2 linked regions of the Alligator mississippiensis genome follow. The protein of the gene in region 2 binds, or shares a complex with, the protein of the main gene of each other region. Links are inferred from orthologs where the notes say so. Each region holds a gene or a part of one and is shown on either strand. Other genes may lie near its edges. The genes, in order: CRYBG1 and PPP2R5C.

Region 1 (3,910 bases), on a different chromosome or scaffold from region 2:
CTGGTCTGATTTGGACCTGAGCTGGGTCATTCCAACTTACTGACCAAAAATACTGCCATCTGCCCTATGTTATGCTAGGCACTGAAGATACAGGGAAAGACTTTCTTTCCTCCTTTCTGTCTTTCTGTGCTGAGCCCATTAGTGGAGAAAAAGATAATGTGGACCAAGTCAGCTACTATAGTAGTCTGGCAGCTACTAAAAATACCTCAACTGTATTTTATGAACTTGTTTTACTCCAGGAATTCTCCTTCTGCCCCAGGCATAGGATGACTACTACTTACACCTGTTAATACTGTCACTGATGCATGCATAAGGCATGCTGACCAAACATGCAGCTAACCACTTATTTCCAAAGAAAAAGAGCTTAACTTTTTACATCCCTGATTTCAGTGCTATAACCCAGATCCAAGGAAAACTGATGCCCAGGTAAATGCAAATGCTGTGCAATCAGTGCTCTGCTCCCCCTGCCAAACAGTCTTGGGTTCAGTAACCAGTTCCAGTAAAGTCCTTCACCAGTAATGTCACTGAAATTGTGTTTAGATAATTTCCTGGGGAAAACTCATCTATTCCTAAATCACCTTAGTCACACTGATCTCCTAAGTATTTGTGTATGTTTCATGATCACACACGATCAGCTCCAGCAGTGATTCTTAACCTTTTTAGCTCGAGGCACCCCTAGATAGAGGAACCCCATGTACAGAATTGAGGCAGTCCTCATTAAACCCAACACAGCCCTCAAAAAATAGCCAGCCCTTCATTTCCATTCAGTTTTTGGCTAAAGAAAAATTACAGAGCTGTTCTGTTGTGAAGACCTTGGCAAGCCCACAGCAGGGCACAATGGTTTTGACACTACAGTTTCCTCTTGAAAATCTCTAAGTTTATCTTGTGCATCACACCTGTGCATCTAAGAGCACTGCCACTGCATGCCACCTCATGAGGCACCCCAGGGTGCTGCCATAACCCTGCTTGAGAATTACTAGGTTTCAGATGGGGACAAGATAGGGTTAGCTTTAAGAACATAAGAACTGCTATTTACTGGGTCCGACCCTAAATCCTTCTTGCCCCATGCCCTGTGTCATACAGGACTGAGGGGATGCTTTCCTGTCCCTTGTCCATTCTTGTCTCTGGGCAGAATATCACTGGGCAGTGTCCACTGTCTCCTGGGATTTGTTTGAGGGCCAGTGGGTGCTGTTGCATGCGCTCTACTTGGTGTCCCCCCTTGGCACATTAGTTATTAATCTTTGACCATTACTCCCGTCCCTGTTCTTTTATCATTTGCCCCAAGCAATCAGTTGCCACTTTCTCAGTAACCTCTGTCTCTGAGGGGGGCTCATAGTTTCCCGTGGTGAGCTTTTAGCCCACGAATCCCAAAGTGACAAAAAGGCCTGTATCACACAGGCCCAAGGGTCTACTTTCCTGTCCCTTGTGCATTCACATCTCCAGGCAGAGTTTCACTGGGCAGTGTCCACTGGCTCTTCACACTCATTTGAGGGCCAGTGGGCACTGTTCACTGTGCTCTACTCAGTTTCCCCCCTTGGTGCACTTATTTTGAACCTGTGATCCTCACTTCCATCCCTGTTTGTCTTTTAGTTGTCTCGAGCAATCAGTGATATGCCCTTAAGGCCTCCTCCCCCCTCCCCCTGCCCCCATCACCAAGGGAGGCTTAGAGCTCTACTTGGTGAGCTTGGGCCCACGTCACAGAATGGCGTATTAAAAGGTCTACATCACAGAACGTTTCCTGCCCCTCTCCACTCACATCTCCAGACAGAGTTTCACTGGGTAGTGTGCACTGGCTTTTTGGACTCATTCAAGGGCTGGTGGGCACTGTCCAGTGTGCTCTGCCTGGTGCCCCCTCTTAGTGCACTCACTTTGAACCTTTTACCTTCACTCCTGTTCCTGTTTTCTTCGTTATTTTCCCCCAGTAATTACTTAATGTGTACTTTGTAGCCCCCAATATTAAAAGGGGCTTATAGCTTTACTTGGTAGGCAATAGCCCATGTTCTCTATACACATCAAACAGGACCATGTCACACAACACCATGGGGCTGTTTTCCTGTTCTGGTCCACTCGCATCTCCAGGCAGAGTTCCACCAGGCAGTGTCCTCTGGCTCCTTGGACTCATTCAAGGGCTGGCGGGCACTGTCCAGCATGCTGTGTTCAGTGCCCCCGTCCTCTGGGGCACCCGTTATCAACCACTGACCCTCACTCCCATCCCTGTTTTGTCTCCCAGGTGTCCCAAGCAACCACTGCTGCCCCTTTTATGCCCCCCTCTTTTGAAGTGGGGCTGATCGCTCTGCTTGGTGGGCACGGGCCCACGTCCCAGAGCGTGGCCTGGTTACGCAGCAGCACAGAGAGGAGGCTCAAAGGGGGAGCTAACTGGGTCTGACATAGGGTTTGCCTGCTTCCAAAAGTGTGTGTGCACGAGTGCGCTGTCTGCTTCCAAGTATGTGTGTCTGTGTGCTGTCTGCTTCCAAGCGTGTGTGTGTGTGTGTGGGGGGGGGGGGGCCGTCTGCTTCCGCGTATGTGTATGTGTGTGCGTGCTGTCTGCTTCCAAGAGTGTATGTGTGTGTGTCTGCTTCCCAGAGAGAGCGTGTGAGTGTTTTACCCAGGTGGCCGCAGCTCAGGTGTGGGCCACCCACCCCACGGGGAGGCGGGACGAGCCGGGAGCAGCGGCTGGGCAAGTAGCGCGGACAGCTGCCCTGCATTGGGGCCGGGGCACGTCACAGCTCTTACCTGTCCCCGGAGGCGGCGCAGAGGGGCGAGGCGGAGCAGGACGGGGGCAGCCCCTCGCCGTCCTCCGGCGGCTGCTTCCTCCGCAGGCGCCAGGGGCTGAAGGGTGAGCGCTTCCTGGGCTGCCCCGCGGGAGAGCCGCCATGAGGCTCGGGGCGCGCGCGGCGCGGGGGGGACGGCGACTCCCGGCCCATGGTGTGCGGCGGCGGCTGGTCGGCGCCGCCGCGGTGCAGGAGCCTGCGGAGCCCTCCGCCCTGCTGCATGGCCGGGGCACGTCCTCGGGGCCAGCCGCCCTGCCGCGCTCTCCCTGGCGGGTCCGCAGCCGCGGCAGCTCCTTGAGCCTCGTGTCCCCGCACCCCCGCGTGGGTCGTGGCTTGTTGGCTCAAGCAGTTCCCTCCCTCCCGCGGTCCTTAATCCCTCCCCGCCGCCCCAGCAGGTTCCCCGTGTCTTGCACAGGAAGGGAGAGGCTCGCGTTCCCCATTAGCCACCCATTAGCCTCTTGTCCCCGGGCGCAGCCGCCCGCCCCGTCCCTCTGCTCTTCCCAGCAAACAGCCGGTCCGGGGCGCCCGGGGAGAGGGGACACGTCCACTTGCAGCCCTGCTCCGCCCCGAGTTTCACGGCGGCGGCCCTTGTAGTCAGGCAGCTGCTGAGGGAGTCTCTTGACTCCTTTGCATCTACCTCATCCCTGCTAAACATGGGGCAGGGTGTTTTGAAGCCTCCCTCAGAGGCTTTGGGTGTTGGCTGCAGCCCAGGCTGGAGGTTTTAGCTGAGGTGTGTGCCAGTGCACCTGCTGGGCCCGCAGCCCTGGCTAGAGGGTCTCACCCCTTGGTTCAGGTTCAGACCAATTGCCATTTTTAGGGCCAGGAAGGGATTTTACCTCATGGTCAGATTGGTTGAGGAGGGGGGAGTTGCCTTCCTCTGTAGCAGGGGGGCAGGGCCCTTTGCCTGGGACCTCTTGGGCATATGCAGGTTTCCCTCGCCAACCACGGTTTTGAATATCCACGCTTAATATTCTGTATACAATTTTGGCTACCACAGTATACCGATTTGAGTAACCATGGTTTACCGTGGGTGCGCATCAGCCTGCCACCTGCCATTTTCCTCATAAGCCTTTTGTCTTGCCAACCACGGTTTTGCCAACCACGGGAACTTTCAGGAACCTAACCCCAGCAGTTGGCAA
Region 2 (3,910 bases):
ACAGTAAGAAATCACAACAAACCACACATGCAAGCTATTCAGTGTTTGAAACTCTCACCTCTTACTTAAAATTTGAGAACTTGTTATAGTTTGCTCACAGTAATTGGGAAAAAAATGAAAGCTGATCTCAGCAACAAGTGTCAATTAAAAAGTTCCTAGAAATCTCTTCTATAAGGGCAACTTGGATAAACTAGTCCAGTTATATACTATAAAGACACTGATTTTAAAAACCTTTTTTTGTCATAATTGCTAATGAAGTGCAACCCTAGTAAAAAAAAAAAAAAAGTGTTTCTTTAAATGTCATACAATTAAGTTGAAGCTAGGCAACTCAAGCAGGGGAGACTGAGTATTTATAAAATGAAATTATTGCAAACTATTGCAAATGTTATTTCATATTGAGAAACTTCAGCTACTGTTAAAGCCTATTTCCCTTGACCAAATTTCAAAACTTAATGCAGATTAATCAGTGAGCATTTATGATTTGGTTACTTAGCAGTTTGCTATGAATAAACTAATACTGGTAAGATGCACCTTATACAATATTTTTATCTGCAACACAGATAAAATCTCAATGAAGCTCCCTACAAATAGAGCACTTGCTCTGCAGGATAAAAATGCAAACAGTTTGTTTACATCATAATGCAGCAAAGAAATGTTTTGAGCAAAGACATAACAAACACACCCATGGAACATGGAAGACATGGGATTTTTCAGTGAAAGTATATGTTCAGGTTAGCGTGAATGTATTTTAAGGAATTTCAGAACTCACTAAAACATTACAGGGTTTGGAATTTCCAAACAGAGAGATTCTATTAATGGGATGTTTTCAGGTTCTGTGGGAAGGAGTGTGAGTAACAATTTAATTGACCCCTTTGAAACCATCATACCTAGCTGGTGGGCAGAGCTGAGAGCAAGGCAGCAAGATGATAAAAGGAACAAAGCAGCAGCAATAGCAGAACTGTCAGTCAGAAGTGAAACACTTCAGTAGATGGTTATAAAAAGCAAAATCATTAGATACAGAAAGGTGGATGCTACGAACTAGAAACATTCAAGTCCAGCTTGAAACAGGCTACTGATGGGCTCTCTTGAACTAGATGCTAGCTTTTGGAAACTGTGGAGGAAGATAAACTAACAGGTGAAAAAATCTGAGTAGGCAGCTTTAAAAAAAAAAGGCAAGCCCATTACCTGACTAGAAGGCTAAGGCAAGGATAAGAGTTATGCCCCAAATAGCTGATGAAGGCAGACAAAAGCAAAAGAAGAAAAGCGATGGGTTCTTGAAAGCACAAAGCAAGCCACGAAGTCCACCCAGTCTATTTTAATTCGAGAAACACCTTGAGAGCGTTTCCCATGAGTTGCAAGCAGCTCGACAGATCTCTTGTCCTCCCTCAAAGGAACCTTCATAGTTTCCTGACCTCCGCGCGGGTCCCCTCCCCGTCCCATCACCAGGAACTCGGCCGCGCTCCGTACGAGGCAGCTTCCTTCCGTTCATTATCTGGGAAGACCGCGTCACGTTTGGGAAGATGCCGCGCCTTCATGACATTTACCTCATGCTCTTGGTTATCCTGCCCATCTTTGCCGCTCTTCCCGCTCTTCCCCGATTTCACAGGCTCCTGCAAATGAAGAAGGCTCGTCACAGCGCTTCCAGCTTCTGCCCCATTTCTCGCCTTGGCGGAAAAAGGCAGGTTCCCCCCCGGGGCTGCACCAGCCTCACCCATGAAGCCAGGGCAACTAGGGCAAGTCGCTTGCACCGGACCAGGGATGGAACAGGCTGGACCTGGTTACCTCAGGGCAGCCCTGAAGGGAGGAGGAGGAGGCGGGTTGTGCCCAAGTCACCTCCCACCACAAACCCTGGGGAAACTGAGGCCCGTGGCATGCTGCGACTCCCCTCCTGCAGCCAGACTCGGGGCTGGGGGCTGATTTTGACATTAGAAATAACGGCACGAGGCGGGTGAAGGGGGCCCCGGCTGCTGCCGAGCAGGGCTGTGCTCGTCCCAGCCCTAGCCCTTCCTTGGGCACCACCCCTCGCGGGGAAACTGAGGCAAGGAGCTCCCCGCCAGCATCCCCGGGATTAGGCTCCGCCTCCCCCTAGCGCCGGGAGCGGGACGCCCCTCCGCGTCCCTCGCCAGCCTCCGTAGGCAGCTCCTCGCCCCTCCCCCGGGGGGCCCGCGCCCCCTCCCCGCCACGGGCTCGCTCCGCGCTGCCCCCCCGGCCCCCCTCACTTTCTCCTTCTTGTTTTTATTCGGCATGGCCGGCGGTCAGCGCCGGGCCGCAGCGGCGCGGCCTCCGGGGTCCCCGCTCCGCGCTGCCGCTCCCCCCGCTCCGGCTCCCGGCGGCGGCCGCGGCCTCTTCCCCCTCCCACCCACACCCCTCCCTTGCGCCCGGCAGGGCTGGCACGCCGCCTCGCCATTGGCTGCTGCGCGTCACGTGGCACCAACGTTCCCCCTTCCCGTCACCGGGGGCGGGGTCCCCGCGGCAACGTCACACTCCGGAGCTGGCGGCTGGGCGGGGTCGCCCCGCCCCACCCCTTGCCCGGGAGGCGGGGTCGCAGCCGGCCGGCCGCCCCCGGCTTCCCGCGCGCGCCCTGATGGGAGAGCTAGCGCTGCTCTTCCCCGCGCAGGGGGCGGTCTGCGCCCGGGGCGGCGGCGGCTGCTGTTGCTGCTCTTCGCACCCGGCCCGGCCCGGCCCGGCCGGGCCCGGCTTGGCTCCGGCTCCAGCTCCAGCTCCGCCGCCGCGAGGGGTCCGGCCCTGCTCCGCTCTTTCGGCGCGGGGAGGCGCTGTGCTGCTGCCCGTCCCTTCCCCGGGAGGGCGGCTGAAGTTGTCGGTTCCTGATTCCCGGTTCCTTTTTCAACGCCGATCTTGCGCGCCATGGAAGACCGGTCGCGATGAGGTCGACAAGCCGAAGAGTTTTTTGTTGTTATTAGTATATTGACTAATAAGTTTTTTATTAGTATATTTACTAATACAAATGTGAAATCGTGTCGTGTTTCAAGTACGCAGCCCTGAATAAAGAGTTGAGATCCGGCTGGGATTATTTCTCGTCACGTTCGAACTCTTTCGCTTGTCCAGTTCATCGCTGCCAGCCTTTAATTGTGTCTGTGATGAGTTGGAAACAAGGAACTGGGACTAAGGAGCTGGCTTCAGCGTTATCCTTTCCCCACACTCCCAGTCCCTGTGTTAATATTTCTGGGGGCGGGGATGCTCTCTCTTCTGCTGTGCCTGTGAGTGACTGTCAGGGGTGTAGGCTGTAGCTGTGTTGGTCTAAGGATATATGCAGACAAGGTGGTAAATTCAATATCTTTTCATAAATTTCATAGACATTAGGGCTAGAAGGGACCTCATAAGATCATTGGGTCCAGCCCCCTGCCCAAAGGGCAGAAAGTCAGCTAAGGTCAAAGGATCCCAGCAGATAAGCATCCAAATGTTCCTTAAAAAAATAGTTGGAAAAAAACTTTTATTACCCAAAGACCTTGTTGCCTGTGAGTAACTTTAGTATACGGTGTCTACACAGTAGCCTCTGAATAGGGCTAATGGGGGTAAAAGCATTTTATGATGGAGCTTGATCCACTTAAGAAGGGGGTTATGTAGCAGGGGGTTAGACTCAGTGACTTAACGTGTCTCTTCCAGTCCTACTTCCACTAACATTTTTTTTTAGTCCTCGTCCCTGCGTCAGTCCAGCGTGTTTGCTGTTACTGAGCTTTTCCCCAGCAATGGAACAGAATTAACTGATAGTTTCGCTGGTAGCCATCAAGTCCTGAGAAGTAGTTCAGTGAAAATGTAGTGCTGTTTGCTGTTCCTGGGGCATTAAACCAGGCTGAATATAGATGCAGAAGGACTGAATAAGCCAGGCTGAATAAACCGGACTCAATAAATCAGGCCAAATATAGATGCAGAAAGACTGGACTAATCCAAT

The links.
Region 1: the proteins of PPP2R5C (region 2) and CRYBG1 are in contact, whole or in part, in a crystal structure (PDB 6VRO), measured with the Homo sapiens proteins. The link is inferred for Alligator mississippiensis from reciprocal best matches to the Homo sapiens genes PPP2R5C and CRYBG1. Residues at the interface, in NP_002710.2 of Homo sapiens: Lys183, Thr184, His187, Tyr190, Gly191, Leu194, Arg197, Ala198, Arg201, Glu226, Ile227, Ser230, Ile231, Asn233, Gly234, Phe235, Ala236, Lys240, Glu242, His243, Pro265, Gln266, Tyr269; in NP_001358171.1 of Homo sapiens: Pro1136, Phe1138, Ala1139, Met1140, Pro1141, Pro1142, Ile1143, His1144, Glu1145, Asp1146, His1147, Glu1149.

Annotation. Positions count from the first base shown.
Region 1 is NC_081824.1:92,636,640-92,640,549, reverse strand, and holds the start of CRYBG1 (beta/gamma crystallin domain-containing protein 1), read right to left. Parts: upstream 2,967-3,910; 5' UTR 2,925-2,966; coding exon 2,734-2,924; intron 1-2,733. UniProt on the Homo sapiens protein: May function as suppressor of malignant melanoma. It may exert its effects through interactions with the cytoskeleton.
Region 2 is NC_081825.1:284,642,490-284,646,399, reverse strand, and holds the start of PPP2R5C (serine/threonine-protein phosphatase 2A 56 kDa regulatory subunit gamma isoform), read right to left. Parts: upstream 2,338-3,910; 5' UTR 2,247-2,337; coding exon 2,220-2,246; intron 1,611-2,219; coding exon 1,545-1,610; intron 1-1,544.